Linked DNA regions of Oryzias latipes. The protein of the gene in region 2 purifies or fractionates together with the protein of the main gene of each other region. This does not show direct contact. Links are inferred from orthologs where the notes say so. Each region holds a gene or a part of one and is shown on either strand. Other genes may lie near its edges. The genes, in order: sf3b2, protein lin-28 homolog A and pop1.

What was found.
Region 1: the proteins of protein lin-28 homolog A (region 2) and sf3b2 purify together in Homo sapiens (affinity purification with mass spectrometry; 3 studies listed by BioGRID and IntAct, with this or other methods). This does not show direct contact. The link is inferred for Oryzias latipes from reciprocal best matches to the Homo sapiens genes LIN28A and SF3B2.
Region 3: the proteins of protein lin-28 homolog A (region 2) and pop1 purify together in Homo sapiens (affinity purification with mass spectrometry; 3 studies listed by BioGRID and IntAct, with this or other methods). This does not show direct contact. The link is inferred for Oryzias latipes from reciprocal best matches to the Homo sapiens genes LIN28A and POP1.

Annotation. Positions count from the first base shown.
Region 1 is NC_019876.2:19,503,184-19,509,586, forward strand, and holds the start of sf3b2 (splicing factor 3B subunit 2), read right to left. Parts: upstream 3,706-6,403; 5' UTR 3,626-3,705; coding exon 3,502-3,625; intron 3,065-3,501; coding exon 3,018-3,064; intron 2,418-3,017; coding exon 2,187-2,417; intron 1,929-2,186; coding exon 1,893-1,928; intron 1,772-1,892; coding exon 1,699-1,771; intron 1,520-1,698; coding exon 1,419-1,519; intron 1,242-1,418; coding exon 1,133-1,241; intron 801-1,132; coding exon 715-800; intron 580-714; coding exon 367-579; intron 290-366; coding exon 164-289; intron 84-163; coding exon 3-83; intron 1-2. UniProt on the Homo sapiens protein: Component of the 17S U2 SnRNP complex of the spliceosome, a large ribonucleoprotein complex that removes introns from transcribed pre-mRNAs.
Region 2 is NC_019874.2:22,831,650-22,838,011, reverse strand, and holds the start of protein lin-28 homolog A, read left to right. Parts: upstream 1-1,806; 5' UTR 1,807-1,930; coding exon 1,931-1,961; intron 1,962-2,305; coding exon 2,306-2,478; intron 2,479-5,472; coding exon 5,473-5,648; intron 5,649-6,362. UniProt on the Homo sapiens protein: RNA-binding protein that inhibits processing of pre-let-7 miRNAs and regulates translation of mRNAs that control developmental timing, pluripotency and metabolism.
Region 3 is NC_019874.2:6,455,475-6,461,888, reverse strand, and holds the start of pop1 (ribonucleases P/MRP protein subunit POP1), read left to right. Parts: upstream 1-1,990; 5' UTR 1,991-2,400; coding exon 2,401-2,530; intron 2,531-2,820; coding exon 2,821-2,919; intron 2,920-3,224; coding exon 3,225-3,400; intron 3,401-3,478; coding exon 3,479-3,739; intron 3,740-3,824; coding exon 3,825-3,912; intron 3,913-4,220; coding exon 4,221-4,399; intron 4,400-4,511; coding exon 4,512-4,786; intron 4,787-4,860; coding exon 4,861-4,954; intron 4,955-5,029; coding exon 5,030-5,138; intron 5,139-5,215; coding exon 5,216-5,335; intron 5,336-6,346; coding exon 6,347-6,414. Other genes in the region: rida (2-iminobutanoate/2-iminopropanoate deaminase), read right to left, coding at 1-58, 138-192, 1,086-1,191, 1,731-1,795. UniProt on the Homo sapiens protein: Component of ribonuclease P, a ribonucleoprotein complex that generates mature tRNA molecules by cleaving their 5'-ends. Also a component of the MRP ribonuclease complex, which cleaves pre-rRNA sequences.

The DNA.
Region 1 (6,403 bases), on a different chromosome or scaffold from region 2:
ACCTGTTTGAGTTCAGCTACAGTGAGCCGGTTCATCCGCCGCAGCTTCTTTTTGGACAGTTTAGGAACATCTTGTTTGGCTTCCTGTACACCCAAAACATTTTGTGTTGATCTTGAAATGTTTTTCATCTCCGAGTTGAGTTTCCAAAGGAAATGATGCATACCTCATCGCTATCATCGCTGTCCTTCCTCTCCAGCTCAAACCCCTTCTTCCGCATCATACCCACTGGTTCCAGCTTTTCAGTTTTCTCTGGCTCTTTGTCCTTCTCTTTTTTCACATCATCAGTTAACTTTAAAACAAAAAAAATAAAGATGCAAAGCAAAGCACCAACATAGCTTCTGTCTGTGTACAATATGCTTAAGCTACCTTAAATGCCTCAAAAATCTTTTTGAAGAAGATATAGTTGGGGTCGTAAATCTCCAGGTCCTCTGTGATGTACTCAATCTCCACCTCTGTCTCCTTCTCCTTGTCCTTTTGCTTGGTGCTGCTCTCCTTTATTTGCTGCTCAGCCTGTTCCTTCTTCTCTTGCGCTCGCTTCTTCTTGCTCTTCTTTTTTCTGTTCCTGCGCTTGCAATTTTTCTAAAAAAAAAAAAAAAAAAAAAAAAACATTCAATTTTAAAACCCTCTGTCAAACACAATTCTAAATATACTTTAAACACTATACAAAAACGAAGAAAATTGGCATCCAAAGTTGTTGAATTTGATCCCCCTTACATCTTTTTTGGACATCTGGCCATCTTCGTCGTCTTCAGACATTACTGCTGCAGAAGAATTTGTTGCATCCATATCTTCAACATCATCTAAAACAAAGCAAAGGGAAGTAAAAACAGTGATTCTTTCTCCAAACGTGCTTCCTAGTTGCTGACAAGCTTCAACCATCTTGATTAAAGTTTTAACTATGCTTTTTTGTTTTGGTTTTATAATCAGTAATAAAAAAAATCACACTTAAGGCAGATCAGGTTCTGTTGAAAAAAATAAAGCAAAAAAAAAAAAAAAATCAGACTTTAAATTAAATAACCAAAAAACACATATCCATGCTATACCCTAAAATAAAAATGTTTTAGGGGCCATACCTTACGACAGTAACAGTGAATGTAAAGAATCTGGAGATATTTTATTTTGTAAGTCTAACCTGCTGGATCGACAAGCTGCTCCTGCCTGATCTCCTTCAGCTGAAGGATCTTCTCCAGAGCCTGTGGGATCTTGGGCCCGCCAACACTAATCTCTTCATTCTGCCAGATCTGCAGGAAGAAAGGAATTGCAGTTTAACACTAAACCAGCAGGTTGTCGCATTTTAATCAAAAAAGTTCAAAGAGTTTAAAAAAACTTCAAAAGAATCTAACTTTGCTTAAATCACACCAGAATTAGTGTTAACCTATGTCTAAAACAAAAATTAGAGAAGTGCAGGAAAAACGTACGTCTCTGTTATCTTCTCCTGGAGGGGGTGGCACCTTTTGTTTATGAGATGGCAACAAGGTGACACCAGGAGGTAAAGGCCCGTGAGGATCCAAAACTGAAACTTTGGTTTTGTGAAAAAAACAAATTTGTGATTGATAATGTAAAAATATACTATTAAATGCTGGTTTAACGTCAGCTTGCAACACTGTAGGAAGCAGAGACGTCTTCCCTTGACAAACATTTTGTGACATTGATCTTGAATGGAATCACTTGTAAAAGGTTTTAGGATATTCCACAAACCTCTTACTGCAGAGACAGCTGGCTGCATCTTTGCCATTTCATGATGTCGTTCTTGTTCCAGCAGCACGGCAGCCTAAGGAAGAAATGAATGAGAGATGCAAGCAATATAAAATCACAATAAGAAACAAAGAAAATAAATGTCTTCCTTATTTTAATTGACAGCTGAACAAAATGTGTTGTTTGCAATTCCTTACCCGTTGCTGCTGCTCCAGAAGTTCATTTTCGTCCCCCTGTTTTAGCCAAACAAAAAAAGGCCAATGTTTAGCAAATGTGACTGTTTAGGTGTTTTCTGTTAAAGGTCTCTAGTAAAAAATGTTGGCTTTACCCAAATACATTGAAAAATTGTATCTATGATCGTTGTTTTTACCTAATTTACTTTGTAAAACTTACAATGTTTAAATACAGTCCAGTAATTTTGTTTTGCCGAGTACTACAATATTAGCGATTAATGTGTCAAATGCAGCAGTTGGCCAGTTCTGCCATCCCACCTGATGCTTGGCCCTTTCTTCCTGTTGTAACACAATGGCAGCTCTCTGCTGAACCATTTTAAGCTGATCGTCCTGTGTGAGACCAGGAGGTGGCATGTTTGGATGATCCATTGTCATGTGCATGCCAGAGGGAGGAGCTCCAGGGGGTATCATGTTCATTGCTGGGATCATTCCCATCCCTGGGGGCATAGGTGGCATGGGCATCGGGGGCATGGGAGGAATGCTCGGCACCTGAAAAAAAGAAATGAAAATATTGTGAAAAGAGCAATAGATAGGAGGCTGACTGATATGAAATTAATCTTTTTTATTTTTATTTTGGGCCATTTATTTTTGCTTTTCCACCTGACACATTAAAAATTAGCTAAACATCACATGTCTACAGTCTGATTTATAAATTCAGAAGTTGAACAATGCAGATAAGTTAAAAACAGTCAAAACTAAGTCCACTCAATAGCCTTCATTAGCCAACCAATTATTCTTTGTTAGGCTACTAATGAAATGATTTCCCTTAGTTGTTTGTTGCCATATTAACTTGAGATTTTTGCAATTGAACTATTATCCCTATACAGCATACTAAAACATTTTACAAAATTAAACATACATAAATCCAGATAGACATCGTAAAATTTAAAAAACGTTCCACACCGTTTTAATGGCTCAATGTGAAGGGCTACAAGAGAGATTACCCAAACTATTGGTATAAAACCCTCAAAAACATTTTATTATTATCCATTTGAATAATAGTTTTTAAAATCAACAAGAAAAAAAATGAATTAAGAATGGGAAGTTGCATTTGTGTGGGTGTGATGTTGATTTCGAGGATGAGCTTACCTGCATCATGTAGCCCTTCAGTCTGTCAATGAGTTCCTCTCTAGAGCCTAAATTAAGAGAAGCACGACCATTGTATTTTATTTTAATAATAATTCATCGGTTTGGAGTTATTTATTAACGTAATCAGAGTACCATATGACGTAAAATACCAATTATTGATCACATTATTAGCAAATCCTAAGCAGTTCACAACAATGGAACTGTCGATCATCATCATCAGCAAAAACTTAGCTAGTTTTTGTAAGAAATCATCAAAAGCAATCAATTGTTACGTTTGGTATTCCAACTGTAAAATATTAGACAAAAACGGCTTTTAAAATATGCATATGAAAATACTAAACGGAGTCAAACCATTCTGCGGGCCTGTTGTTGGAGCGCTTTATGACGGAGGTTCAACGACTATGTGCTCCAAGCTAATGCTAGCCGTAAGCTAGCTTCAAAACAACGCGCTTTGATTTTTGCACTATATGGGAGCTTTTCTTACCCATTGTTGGAGCTCCTAGCTCCACCAGCTTCCCCTGAAGCTCTGGGACGCTCCATGTGTTTAATGCTGCGATTACACTACCTAAATCATTCGGGTCCGTGCCCGGCGGTCCGTCAGAAGCCATGTTGAGCAGTCGATCAACGGCGGTGGAAAAAAGAGATAAACTCGCGAGAGACAGAAACGAGAACAAGAAAAAAAAGCAAGGCATTATGGGAGAAACGCAATGGTCTTAGGGATATGAAGTTGTAAATTTTCCTTTAATTTTCCTACGGACGTCTCTGGGTGTCAGTGTTGGCCCGTTAACTGGTTGAAATATGATTTTTGAAAACGTTTTTTTTGTAAACAAATTGATATATTTGTGTAAATAATGTAAAAACGTTGTCCCATTGCTGCTACTACTACTGCTACTACAATGAATGACAACAACAACTACTAATATACTACTACTAAAGACATTGAAGTATATTCGCATTTTCTTTGTACTAGAACAAAATCAAATCCATGACAGGGCAGGGCTCAAATACGTGATGCTGTATAATTTGTTAAATTGATTTTGGGTTGTTAAGAATTGAAATTAACAGAAGTTACAAGTATAAAGGTAAATATGTGCCACAACTTTTTGTAATGTGAGCTAGTTTTCTGTATATATAGCAGGGGTGTCCAACTCATTTTCACCGAGGGCCACATCAGCATAGTGGTTCTCCTCAAAGGTAACTAAATATAATGAAAAATAAACGTAATTATTCCTTAATGTTAAATAACTCATTTATTTATTATAACTTGTTAAAGTGACACAGTTGCACAGAAAACATGTTTGCTTGTTACTCTAGCATAAATCCTTTTAAATTTTATTCTGTCAGGTTAGGTTATATTGACAGTGTTTAAGTCCTAATGTACAGTTGCCCAATCCGATATTTCTACTCCAATTCCCCTTAGATATGAATACACACCAAGTATTGTATTTGGCTCGCGGGCCTTAAGTTTGACAAGTGATATAGAGGTTGTGTGATTGCAGATGAGAGACAGGTGAGTAATAAACGGAAGCAGCTTGGGAACATTCTGGTTTGAGGACAAGGGCTGATGGGAATTGTACTATTGAAACCAAGAAGTGGTCAGTGTTTAGGTGATTGTTCCCACTAATGGGAGATTATTATAGTCCATTATTCCAGTCCAATGCATCGCTGTAAACCCTAATGAGTTGACTGAACTTAAAAATTATTGTGTAACAGATTACGCAATAGTTTTTAAGTTATATTATTAAAACTTTTAAGTTAACATTAATTAAAATTTATATTGTCAGTTGGCTTAAATTTGTATTATTTCATATTAAAAATATTAAGATTCCTCAACTTATAAAAGAGAGATTATTTACTCAAAGTTTTTAATATTTTCCAACTAAAAAAAACACTTCAACTAACTATATTTTTTATAATATTACTCAACTCATAAAATATGTAAAATTCACTCAAATGTTTTATAAATTTTTTAACTCATTTAATGTGTAGCATTGAAAATATTTAAAATTCTTCACCTTAAAATGTATGGACTTGAAATGTATTCTAAACAGATGTATTGATACTGCCCCATTACAACATTTTAAAAGCGAACATTGATGAAAACCAACAAACATGAAAGCCACACAATAGTGTTTGCTTAATACACTATTTTTAATTGCTCTTTTAAAAAAAGAATCACAAAAATCAAGAGGATGAAGAAACAATCAGTGAAATAAAACTGCATTATAAGGGTGCCACACAACTTATTGACAAAAAGTGTTGGTTTTGTATTGTACGGCAGAAAAAGCAAATGATCACAACAAAAACAGTTGCATAACACTTAAACCAACAAATAGTCCATTCTGGAAGACTCACTCAACGAAACATTCTTCAGCGTCAATAAATGTCCTTTCAGTGGTTTGCCGTCCTCAAGGCTGAAGACAGCATTCTGAATAAATATGAAGGCGAGTTTTTTGGGGTTCTGTAGGTCCAGAGCATAGATGTACCCGAAGAGTAGAAGAGATTAGTCAGCCAGATCTGTGGGACCACTGACGGCAGCATCAGGAGCGTCACCACGACAACTGAGAAGATACCCACAGCAGTGTCTGTGAGGTCTGGTATTCTGGAAAATACAAAACAAAAACACAGATGAGTTCAGACCCTCAAAGATATTCATCACACTAATGTCCAAAACTGACATTCCTGCCACCTGTCAATGTGAATCTTTTCATGCTAACATTCTGTTAGCTTTTAATCAACTGGCTGTGATGCTTTAAGGACCAACTCCAATTTAAATTGTGTTTTTAAAAAGTTCTTTAGCATTTTTCTGAAAATGGAGGACATTTATAAAATAACTTAAGACTAAAGCTTCATTTTTCTTTATTCAAATAATGATGGATCAGGAGCAGAAAAGGTAAACGAAAAGGTTCCCGCTCCCTCCAATCAGGAGTCCCTGATGTTCGCCTTTCATCTTCCGTCTAATTTTTAAAACCATTTAAAAATATCACGCAGTTTACAAACTACAAACAATTGCCTATTTATAATGTCACTCAATAAAATCTCAATCAATATTAAAGGATTAGAGAAAAGCATTGACAGGGAGTTGTGTACACTTACAGTACAGGTCTTGAAGAAGTTGGAGGCATCTTCATGCAGATAAACAGGAAGTGCAAGGAGGACAAGTGCCCGTCTCATGTTCACATCATGCTGGTCCTAAAAGAATAAAAAGAAATATCCATTACCATTGAAGCAAATGCAGAGCAAACACTTCCAATATTTACTTAAGGAACTTTAAGAAATAATAAAATGATACCTTTTCTAGATGGCTATTTCTAGTAAGAGGACCATGGAGTGTTTATGGCATGATCCACTTCAGGTCAAAGACCCAAAGTCATTTTTAAGGCAAG
Region 2 (6,362 bases):
GATATACACCAATCAAATAATGAGATTTCCTGTATTCTTTTTATACATTCTGTCTCTCAGTGTATGATGAACAATGCAGATCTCTCTCATCTTTCAAGTGGAACAATTTATAGAATCTGTCTGTAAAGTTAATAGATTCCAAGATTAAGAAATCATGTTTAAAAAAAATGTTTTAGCAATTGTTTCCCCGTTTTCTACATTGGACAGATCTTGAACAGCCGTTGTAGTGATAAATTAAACATAATGCTTCCTTTTCCTGGCTCTGTGAAAACATCATTTTTACATTTAGGCTACTGTGAAAAAGTCATCCAACAAAAATAATAATAATCACGTGACGTTCAGGTGTCATAAAACGCATGTTTTCTAGCTCCACAAGGGGTCGTTGTGGTCGCAGGGATCCCTTCCCCACTTGTGCCTCTCAAACATCCATCATGCGCCACAAAGGTGGGTCATTTCCAGAAAACATACTTCACATTCTTTGTCAGACGGTAGGCCTTAAAACTAAACTGACCTACCAGACGAGATAAAACAGTTTGTCTCTCAGAGAGTTGCTCAGAACTTTAACCTGAAATGTAAACATGAGGTTTTTTTAGGTTGTTTGATGACAAAGTTAAAAAAAAGTTGTTGTTTTTTTTCACTATAAAACTGCAACAAAATTAAAATATAGAATATAAAAAACATTTTTTGAATACTTATATGTCTGTCGCCATCCATTGCAACTCTACCACTCTTGGCGTGGTCAGATATCTCCTGTTTTTAGCACATCCATCATTCCACGAGGACACGAGTCAGCATCTTAACATGATGTGATCAATCACTATCGATCCATGAATTCGTTTGCATATTTTCATCTCACTCGTGTGTTCACTTATCCAACCGTTGTTTTCTCGTCCTTCTGTTCCATCTGACAGGGTTTTTCCTCTCTTTCGTTCGCATTTGTTTTTGACCATTTTCTGTTGTTAAGACCTCCTTACCGTGTGAAGATATGTTGTTGATTTACCAACAAAATAAATAAAAATAACACTAAAAATGTGTTTTATTTTTTATCCTTAACTCTACCAACCAAGGCAATTATTTTATCAAAAGTCCCAGATTTTTCATTGGGACATTCATTGACTTTTCTTGCAAACCTTTTGGTCAAAATGACCTTTTTTTTGCGTCTCCCTGCAGTTTTACGCATAAATATTTGGGGGGAGAACCATCCAAAAGTACAGCAGGTTTAACTCGTTTATGCAAAAATGATGCCAACGACAAACCAGAAAACTAAAAGGCAATAAATCTGAAGCTGCTGCTGCAGCAGAAAGGATCTCAATGTGGGAAAAAATATATATGAGAATATTGAAATGTGCGTTTGTTGTGATAGGCCCCTCCATCACACAATGCATGTATCCTTGGGGACTGTAATCGTGAATCACGTGGACATGACCGAGAGTGTGGGGGGTTTGTTGGATAAGAAATAGTCATTTATATTGACCAGCAGTGCTTGATCACTGCAGGAGAGCTTGAAGCGCGTTTGGAGGCGGACATCTGGGGCTCGGCAGCCGCGCACTCTGCGACTAAGGGGGCCCACAAACATGGCAGAAGGTACGTTGGGAGTTTTTTTAAGTAGAAAAAAAAAACGAAAGAAAGACAAGAAAAAAAGTCCTTTCTAGAGATGGAGAAGGCTGTTTTGTTTCAGATATTATGGTGGGGGTCTTCAGCAGAAATTCCTCCCCCGGTGACCCCCCCACCTCGTATTGTTTAGGAGGAATAGGTTGCCAGCCCCCTTTTGTTTACCTCCCTCCTGGCTTTCCTCCCTCTTGCTGTGCCGCTTCTGCTTTTCACAGCATTTTGCATGAAAGTGGCAATCTGCGAGGATTACCTTGTGCGCGCGCAGGAGAGGATACTGTAACGTGACTGTAGATTCTGACCCGAACCCGACCTGAAGAACATGGGTTCTGTTTCCAACCAGGAGTTCCCAGGTTGAGTAACTTGATGCGCTAAACTTTGCGAGTTGATGAAGTTGTTTTCTCTGACGTTGTCGGTCCGATTGCAGTGGAACATTTTGGGGGGCTTTGTTCAAACACGTGATGCTTCCAACTCCTGAAATTCTGACGCGCCGAATCCTGCAAGATCATTAATTTTAATCAAACGCGCCTCAACGTGTAGGGAGATTTAAGAGGTTTTATTTTTTAATTACACTAAAGTTCCGACTTAAGTCATCGATTTGTACCAAGTTACGCAAATGACAGTTTTGGCTCGATCCGTGCGTCCTGGCTTTACGCGCAGGGTTTGAAGTGTCCCTCGCGCATTTTTTCATCCACAGGAGTGTGCAAGACAGAAGAAGACGAAGGACCGAGCACAGAGGAGGATTCGCAGTCATTCCATGGAACCGGCGTGTGTAAATGGTTCAACGTCCGCATGGGCTTTGGGTTTCTGTCCATGACCAAGCGGGAGGGAGTGCCGCTGGACGAGCCGGTGGATGTCTTTGTCCACCAGGTGAGCTCCCTTAACGAATTTACTTCTTGTGCCCTCCACAAACACCCAGTATGAAAATGCTAAAAACTTTGAAAGGTTTACCTCAGGTATGGGGATAAAAAGGTCAAGAACAAAGTGCGTAAAACAGAAAAATATCAGGAACTTTTGCTCCAAAATTTGATTTTTTTTGCTGCTCCATTTTCTGCAAAAAAAAAAAAAAAAAAATCGATTGGAGGAGAGCAGAGGGCCTCCATGAGACTTTCACCCCAAAAACAGCGCGAGGGAGACAAAAAAAATGTAGCTCCTTTTAATTAAAATGTCTCAAAACGACATTTTAATGGAGAAAAACACCATTGTAGTCCTAAAGATTTGAAATTATTTAAATACGCTTTTTGTTTACCAAGTTAGGCTACAAAAAACCAACGTATTTTTAAGCTGATATATCTAGATTATTTTTTTAAATGTATTATTATTCATCTGTCCCCTCCTCTGTGGTACCTGATTTGCTACCCAAAGACTTTTAAGTATTATTTTCTTCTCAACCCTTTTTTCCCTGCACTTTAGGTTTTTATTATTCTTTAAATATTTGATTTATCTTTATTTGAAAAAAAAAAGATTTCCTTTTTTATCCACCTTCAAAATGTTAACTGAAGAAGTTGGGGTTTTCCTCCTCTTGCTGTGTAAGAGTGAGAAGCTCCATTTCTGCCTGATAAGATAAAGGTTTAGCATGTGAATGAGAGGCATCTTCACCGGCAGCTCTTTTACCTCAAAGTTCCTGTCATAAAGTGATTAAAGGCTTCTCTGGCTGTCTCTTCAACCCCCTCTGTGTGTGGTACAGACCTATACTTTACAACCAAGAATCTTCTTTGAAGAAGACCCCAGGATTTATTTTGGTAAAGATTCTTGTTCCTACACATCTGTTTCATTAAAACATTCAGAAGCTTTTTTTCTCACAACCTGATTGTTCCTGTTCTCTGCTTTTTGTTCTGTTATTTCTGCATTTCTTTACAGTGATGCATACTGAGAGAAGCATATATGCTCTGTGGAATTGGCGCAACTGAAACTTACAGGAAATATACACTTGATTACTCATATTGTGAACCAAAACCCTGGTGCAGTTGAGAGTAAACCTGCATTAAACCTGCCATGTTTGAGGTTTTATTTTTTATAAAGGATAACTTTTTCAAACTCGGGATTCATTTCTGACACATTATGAGTAAAAATAACAATTTTTCATTTTGGTTTACAATGTTTTGATAAAATTACGGTGCACATCGGACACGTGGATCCTTAAAAAAGATGCCAATCAAGTTAAATTTCTGTCACTAGTGAACGTGTGGATGATTTGACAACGTCATCCGTTCTTTGTGCAGGTGGACAATAGAGCCATGCAACCGAAATGAAGCACCCCTCAGTCGTGATAGAGCCCCTCTTTGTCTCTGCAGAAGTCCTGCCATTGTCCCTCGCTGCTCTGATGTCTTTCTTAGTCCTAATTGACATTTAAAATTTTCTAGAACTCACGCGTCTTATACCTCTGCAACCTTCAAGTATAGAAGCTCAGAGCCGGCTGTTGGAGCTGTTGCTGGTGAGCATCCATTATTAGGGGTGGGGATGGTAACACACGGGAGAGGAAGTGGGTTAATGGTCACCAAGGCAGATAGGCCTGATGGGACAGAGGCCGAATTCTCATGAGCCATTTAGGTGTCATGGCTCAACAGTTGTGTCATCCTGCTGTTCAGGAGCTGTGCTTGAAGCTAAACCCTGTGTAGAACGTGTTTGTCCTTTTAGCTTTATAGTCGAACAGAGCATTTTACAGATTTCTATGTTTTATTTTTTTGTTCCATCAGTCATGAATGCGTCTTCCTATATTGTGTGCTCTGTTTGATTCCCCTCAGACAAAAATACAGAGCATTGGTCAAAAGATTTGGTTTTGCTCAGAATACAATCAAAGAGAAGGGATTACTGTCTACCAAAACAAACCTGACAAATTAATGCACAGCTCCATCTATGTCAACAGTGTGCAGTCTGCGTGACAGGTTAATTTTAGCCGCACCAAGGGATTTTTACAGAGGGGTTTCCCATGATGGAGTTATGCAGTTGAAAGGATTTATCCTTAAACCTGCACCACACCTTTCCTTTCCTTGGGTGGCTTCATTGCTTTAGGTAGCCGAATTGTTCTTTGAATGGGCTGAGAAGAAAAAAAAATGTTTTTCCACCTCAGGTAAGCCTCGTGTTTGTGAAAATAAAGCAGCTGTGTTTGCAGTTTACAGCTCCGGTCACGCCTTTGACACAACAACCGGGTCACAGGTGCAATATTTGGGGAGATATTAGTCATTTGTGCTTTTCCTCACTTGATATCCTTCTTGTCTCTGCCAAACAAGCATCCGAAGAATGTCACCCTGACCCCCCAACCTCCCAGAGAAGCCTTGCTGCTTTGTCACCCCACCCCCAACACGAGCACCAACCCCTGCATCCTGTAGTTAAGGGTTAGTGGTGGTGGTCAGTGTGTTAGTGGAGCTTTGTGATGTGGGTGGGAAGAGGGTTGGGGGTGGGGGCAGCAGAGTGGAATGCTGTTCCTCCAGTGGTGGTGGTGGTGGGGTGGGGGGGGGTGAAGGTTATCCTCGCCAGGTTTACCACTCCCAACACAATGAAAGGACAACGAGGGGTCTTGGTGGTGCACAAACAACCAGGAAGACAGGGACCAGAGGGGATTGTGGGGGGCTGTTTGTTTTTTAGGCGAGGACTGGAGATCACCTTAGACTAACAGATATCTGATAAGTGCCACCAGGCTTTGATGATATCAGGCTGGAAAGAATGGTTGGGGGATGTTCCCAGAGGTCAGACTCTCTGCAAGCTTAATGTGGTGGTAATGTGGGAAAGATGAGGACATCTGATTCCTTAAATGTGTTTAAAGTATTTCTCACTTCCCATCACATGTATGATGTCCGTGACGTTTTAAACCGCATCATCCAACACTTCCATACTAATAAACATTTTTATTTTCCCTCTTGTCAGAGTAAGCTGCACATGGAAGGTTTTCGCAGCCTGAAAGAGGGAGAAGCAGTTGAGTTTACCTACAAGAAGTCATCAAAAGGCCTGGAGTCCCAGCGAGTCACAGGACCAGGAGGCATCTACTGTGTGGGCAGCGAGCGGAGACCGAAAGGCAAAAAGGTCCAAAAGCGACGTTCCAGGTGAGCATTGGAGAGCAACAGGGGGTTTAAATTTACATCTTTGAATTTCCCCATTACCAATTTCACCTGACGCAAATTAAAATTACTTAGAATAAATGCCAGAAATACTTATTTATTGAAATGAACAAGCAAACCAACTATATATTTTATAAAAGCATTTATATGGGAAAGATTATCGTGACAATTGCAATAGATTTATAGTTCTAAAAAAGACCTGACTTCAAAACAATTTTAAGGCACCTTGTATTTAAAAAAATGTACTTAGTTTTGACTGATGTCCTCAAACTGTTTTATTAGAAACTGGTTATAATTGCAATGCTGTTGTAAAACTATTATTTTAAATTGTAAATGCCCATGCAGCAGAAATGAGCAAATAATTCAACAAAAATGAATCTACAGTAGTGTACTTCCTTAAATCATTAAACAATTTGTCAAATCAGTAAAGAAATGTTTAGTTGCCTTATCTGGAGAATGAAAATGACCTGTTCAGAAAAAGTCTTGTTTGGTTTCCATGAGATTTTCCAAACTGTTTTCGCTTCTCTCCCAATTTTCTTCCTTTACTTCATCCCAACCCCCCAGCTCTAACCCAGGCAGGGGTCACGTCAGCATGCCTGACGTGTGACCTGGATCAATAACTGTTTAAATCTGCTTGTCCCTGGTGAATTCAGACCAACCTACTTTCTACTTTCTCCTTTCCCAAAATTTTCTACCATT
Region 3 (6,414 bases), about 16 Mb from region 2:
ACGTCGTTTACGCTGGTGAAGTCATTCATGTTCGCGAGGAGCACCGTGGTTTTTACGACTGCAGAAAACAAACACATCCGTGATCTGCATGACTGCAGGGACAAATGTGTGCAAAAACATGAAAGGTTCTTCATTACCGTTTTCATAACCACAACCAGCAGCTTTAAGGATTTCGCCCAAGTTAACAAGAGCCTGAAGGAAAAGGGGAAGAATTATCAATGGATACCACCACACATCACAGTAGAACTAGAACCTGCATCTCTCTCTCCACCATGAAAAAAAAAAAACCTTCTGCATTTGCTTCACCTTGTGGTGAGAAGTCAACATGTTTTCTTTTCCCTGCATTTGTGATCATTGCAACTTGAAAGAAAATACTCAATTCATGATTCTCAAGTTCCTTGATCTGTAGCTCAACAAAAAAAAATCTGCACCTTAGTTACACTTTAGAGTCCCACTCTGATCATCTTTTGATCCGTTTTCAAAGCGTTCCCGGTGTTCTTTTAATTATGATTATGCCAAGTTTAGCCAAAACCAGGAATCCTGGGTCGTTTTCCAGGACATAATTTCTGCAGAGCGACAGTAGTACAGTAGTCGTGAAAGCCTGCCCCCTTTCCATCATCTGTTTACCCCGTCTTCCACTAGCTTACGTTCCCTCGTATCCCCAACCTAACATTGGCGGTGCAACAAAAATGGCGAGCAATATCGGAGCCGTGGAGATTCCAGCTCAGACGAGAAAAATGAGGACACACACGTGTCTATTTGTCTACAAGTGGATGCATCAGAATGGAGAGGGGCAGGGAGCTAGTGGCCCACTGGGGTAACTTGTCAGCCACACTTACAAGCTTTTTCCAGCTGCATTTTTGCATCTGCTCCTGATTTACAACAATTGGAAGAAATACCCAGACATGCTATTATAAGCTTAATTTCTTTATATGTCCTTAATTATCAGAAAAAGGTCACAAGAACATGTTAAAAACACCAAAAAAACTCATTTTCGTAAAGGTGGGTCTTTAGCTTGTTCACAATCCACCTTTGTAGTTTGAGAAGGAAAGCTACAAATGTTTTAAGAGAAGCCGTGTGGTCACCTGTCTGGTTTGTGCTTGAACGCCTCCTTCCACCAGCTGTGTGGTGGCGGGATCCATCCCCAGCTGTCCTGATATGAACATGGTCCGATCAACCAGCACCGCCTGGCTGGAAGACAACAGCACCACAGTATCAGCCTATTTCAAAAAGATTTCATGGAAAAATAAAAAATCATGTCTACAGCTGCAATGTAGGTTTTATGATTAAATTCATTTTATAAGCTAACTTTTACTTTGAAAGCTTTTTTTTTGTGAGGAAAAAAAACAAAAAAAGCTTCAGGTTAATAGTTTTTAGAGACCAGACAAAAGTTTACTCTAAAGTCAAAAATAATTTGAGTTGGTCAAAGAAATAAATCAAAAGGAAAATGGAAGGGGGGGCGGGGGGGGGCGGACACACGGTATGATTATGTTAAGGCTGCATTTAGATTAATTTAAGATTAGGCAAATTTCATTTGATTTTTATTATTCGTTTTTATTTGTAATTATATTAAATATTAGAACTCAAATAAAAGTTTCTTAAAGAAATATGGTTAACAGCAGCTAAACTTTTCCACAGTGGTGCGGTGTAAAGTCCACAGTGAAGAAGCGTGCACTTGTTTGTTTGGTGTAGTGTCCGTCCAGAGACGGTCGGATTCGTACTCCGCTCACCTGTATGGACCGATGGCAGCAGGAGCTTTAGTCGTGCTGATGATCTTCTTGATTAACGCAGACATGTTTCTGAACTCATGCAGGGTGAAAGCAGGCGTGTGAAGGCGAAAACACGAAGGGAAACTAATTTATAAATAAAGATTGGGAAAAAAACGACGGAGAACAGTTGGATCCGCCTTACCGTAAATGACAACTAACAGTCGCAAAATGTACCTGACTTTTTAAAGAAAGTTATTTTGTCTTAATTTTTTTTACAGTAAAATTATATATTTATAGTGAAGCAAGAAAAAAACAACGCTATCCTAAAAGATAAATTGCTATGTCGACGTGTTTTCTCCTGACTCGCTAGTCTTTTCGGCAACTGAACTACAAATTCCAAGAGTACCACGAACCCGGAAGCAAATCGACGTAAGCTGACATTAATTAAACCCATGTGGTTGTTAGCTGTAGCGACAACATTGAACTGCATCCGACTTAATTTTGTGATAGACATTTTTGATTTACCTCTTTTTTATACATAAGTTACGTTTGAATCAGTCTGCTAGATCCAAGTTTGGGAGAAAAAACTTCAGATTCAGTGTGAGCTAACGTAGCTAGCTGGCTTATTATTTGGACTTTTTCGGGATTTCTTCTTTTTATTTATGTTTTGTGGCGGTTAAGACTAGAGAAAATGTCTGCTTCCAAGGTGAAGATGAGGGACAGGAAGATGAAGAACCAGCCTGCCAGCGTGCAGTATTCGTCTCCTTCCGCCGCGGCGGGTAGCAGCAGCCAGAACGGACGACAAGAAGCGAAGGACTCCGGTATTGACACGGCCCACTGTCACGAGTGGGGACTGCCGCTGCGTGGTCAGCACATGGTGGCGGCAGGCCACTCAGCCCTGCATTCACTGTGTGCTTTTCCCCTTAGCCTTTTATATGATTGACATTTAGGTGGCATGATGATGCTGGTCAGAAAGACACAACATCAGTGTTGTCTTGTATATTCTGCATTAAAATTCTCTAAATGTCCTGACCACACATGTCTGACGCCTCATTAAAGGAAACAGTGGTTTGAAAAGCAAAACGCTGTTTGTTCTGATCTTTTCTGCTAGGATGGCAGAGGAACCCTCCTCCCAGGACTGGATGGGTTCGTGGAAATCAGAGAGATGGAGGAGGAGGTTACATGAAGGAGATGCCCAAATACATCACCGGTGAGGAGACGCTTCACTCCTGCAAACACAGGCAAAAGTTGTTTATGTCACGAACTTCATTTATGAGCAGAATCCCTTCATATGCACAACATCAACCACATTTCCCATGACATTTGGGAAATTATTTGACAAAGGCGATGGCAGCTTTCTTTTTTTTTCCCTTTACCATTTGATGCCTTTTCTTTAAACACTTTCTTGTTAATTCCTAAAAACAATTAAAATGCTGGGAAACCTTATAAATGGTCTGTCAGAGCCCCTTTTTCCTACAGTTTCCTAAAAGTCCTTCTATTGTTCTCCTCACCAAGCTGGAGCGTTTGCCAGGAGCAGGGCTGCAGAGGTGAAGGCCATGCTGAAAGCAGTGACCAAGAGAACGGGCAGCAACCATGTCTTCCAGGCTCTGCCCAAACACATGAGGAGACGCGCCATGAGCCACAACACCAAGAGGCTTCCCCGCAGGCTGAGAGATGTGGCGAGCAAAATGGTAATTTCTGCAAATGCTCTCAGCTGCTTTAGTGATTCATCCATGCTCCGTGTGCGCTCACATACGCTCCTCCATCAGCGGGAAAAGAGCCTCCAGGCCGGCTCGAAGAAGAAGAAGGAGCTACCAAAGAGTAAAAGCCGCAAAGCTCGCCGGCGCCACGGCAACCTGTTGCTGGAGTTCAATCGCCGCCAGCGCAAGAACATTTGGTTAGAGACGCACATTTGGCACGCCAAGCGTTTCCACATGGTAAAGAAGTGGGGTTACCGTCTCGGGGACAGACCAACGTGCAAGTGCTACCGGCCGTGCTATAGAGCAATGAGCAGCCACTGCCTGCTGCTGGTAAAACACTCTGTTTTTATTTATATGAAAACATCCAGGAGATAGATAAACTGCTTTTTTTTAGTTATTTTTTTCATCTATGCAGGACATTTCTTATTACTGCTGCATTGAGCTGCAGGGAGAGGAGGACACGCTGTTGACTGCTCTGTCACAGCTGACCAGCAAGGAGACGGGTGAGGGCTGTTACTACTTTCTTTTTACCACGTTAAAAAAAAAAAACACAGGCTGCCTTTTTTGACTTTCTGAGACTAATTTAAAGATCCACCCTGATGAAAAGGTGCTTTTGGTGTTTTTAACTTGTTCTTGTGGCATTTTTGTGATGGTTCAGGAAATGTATAAAGAAAATTTGGATTGAAAGTGCATTTCAGCACAATCATGATCAAAAGACCACTGGGAACACTTGAAAATAGATCGTAAGATGATCAAAGTGGGACTTTAAGTACGGTAATAAAACTCTGAATTGTGGTTGACATTTTTCCAGGCCCTACCTTTGCTGCAGCTCTGTGCCTGTCTGGGTGCAGACAGGGCAGCGTTACGGTGTACAGAGCGGGGCAGTACCCCTCACACCCTCTGGGCCCCGTCACATTTCTTTGGAGACCTCGAGCAGAAGGCTCAGCCAGCAGGCAGCTGTGGATCTGGGCGCATCCCGCTCTGAAGCAGGTAAACGGCTGCTTTTAAATCCTCACAGGGGGGTTTGGGTTGTTGGTACACCAGTCAGTGTCGAGTCAGTCACAGCAAGCTGGTTGATTTCAGCTGATGTGTTCCTCTTCAGGATCTTCTCCCAGAGTTGCAAAGAGTGTGTGAGTGCTTTGAGGCGGTGGTGCCCCCGGTTATCCCAGTGGCCACACCTGCAGAGTCTGCTTCCACCCTGGAGTCTGAGCCAAAGCCTGAGGTCTCCCCTAAAGCCAAGGTGACACCTGGAGGAAAGAGGAAACGGAGCCGTGTGGACGCAGGTGGACCTCCTGCTAAGAAGATCTTGGGAGACGGAACCAGATCACCCGACACTCCAGTCACCTGGAAGTCCAGCTCAACTGGAATCGTAATAAAGTCAGTGAATGAACTGAGCAACTGTTTGGAGGAGGTGATTCTGTTTCATTCACGTATCTGGTCATCTGTCGTAGCGATCTCACGATGGAGATGGTACGCTACCGCCTGGTCGGACCTCAGTCTCATTCTGTGCTAACAGAAAGCTTGGAGGCAGCCACAGACTGTGATGTGAGTGTTGTGAAAGGGTTCTCCTGATCAAAAATAACCTACTCGACAAAATTATAGATGAGTTCTGTTTTTAAGGAGGCGGGTCAGTCCCAGGCTTCTTCTCTGTGGTGGCCTCAGCACTGTAGAGATGAGAGGAAGATGAATCTGCATCAACAACAAGCAGAGGTCTTTAAGACACTGAAAGGTTGGAGCTCTGCTGCTTTGTGCTTTTTCCTCTCCTTGGTCCTGATCACTGACTTTGCTTTCATGTCTCATGTGCAGGCATCTATTCATCTGGAGAGGTGCCCCCTGGCACGGTGCTGGGTCTGACTGTGGATGACCCCAGATTGACTTTACCGGCAAAGAAGGTTAAAGCAATGCCCAGTGTAAACCAGAGTCAAGGTAAAATCTGACCTTCTGGACAGACTGGAGGAGGGCGGGTCGTTATGCTGCACATGTCACAACATGAACTGCTGCGCTAGACGTTAATGCAACACTGTCGGTCACCAAAGGTCCTGAGGGTGTTTCACTGAGTACGTTTCTGGTTCTGTGCTCCTGGGGGCCTCTGCCCAGCCATGCAGATGTTCCAGGTTCGAATCCTGGCAGGACCTTGTACTCCAGTCTCACCCTCAGCGACTGAGCAGCCGATTTGAACATTATTGTCTCATGGATCAGTTCGGATCTGCCCTTCACATTGAGTTCTCAAGCACACAATGAAGTGAATTCAGTAATTTACTTGTTTTTGTCACATGTACAACAAAATACAAAAGTGCTCTTAGGTCAGAGTGTGTCGTTCATTGTAAAAACACAAAAGTAAATAATTTGCAACTAATAATAAGTGCCTCATTTGTTCATTCATTTTTAATAATAAATTGAAAGGTGCATCATTTAAAAACCGATTTACAACTACTGAAAGTTGCACCAGTTATTAAAATCAAGAAGGTACAATTGGAAAGGAGTGTTAAAATTGTTAATATTAATAAATTTACTTTAAAAAAATCACTTTTTATTCTCTGATTTACAATGTGCAGAATGAACTAAAAGTGAAATAAAAAAATCTTTATGACTACCCTGTTACCGGGAAGTTTATAGCAGTTTACATCAGTGCAAAGGATAAAAAGTGCAGCAATATTTCTAATTTCTGTAAGATTCCAGTCAAAATAATAGTATATTTATCATCCATTTAAATCAGACACACCTGTTGGTTTCTCCTAATTGTGTATTCGGTATATTTCAATATTAGATTATATAATCCTACTTTCTAGTTTTATATTAACAGTATAAACTTGGGTAAAAATAATGTTTTGATTTAAGGAATTGTTTGATCATTTTTAATTGAACATTAGAATTCTGGGAGTAAGAGGATGGAATTCTGGAGGCTGATTTTCAGGAAGGTTGTGTTTGTTTCCACAGAGGCAGACGAGGAGAAGAGACGGCAGCTGATGTTACGAGGCGTCCCGCAGCTCTGCAGCCAGAGCTGC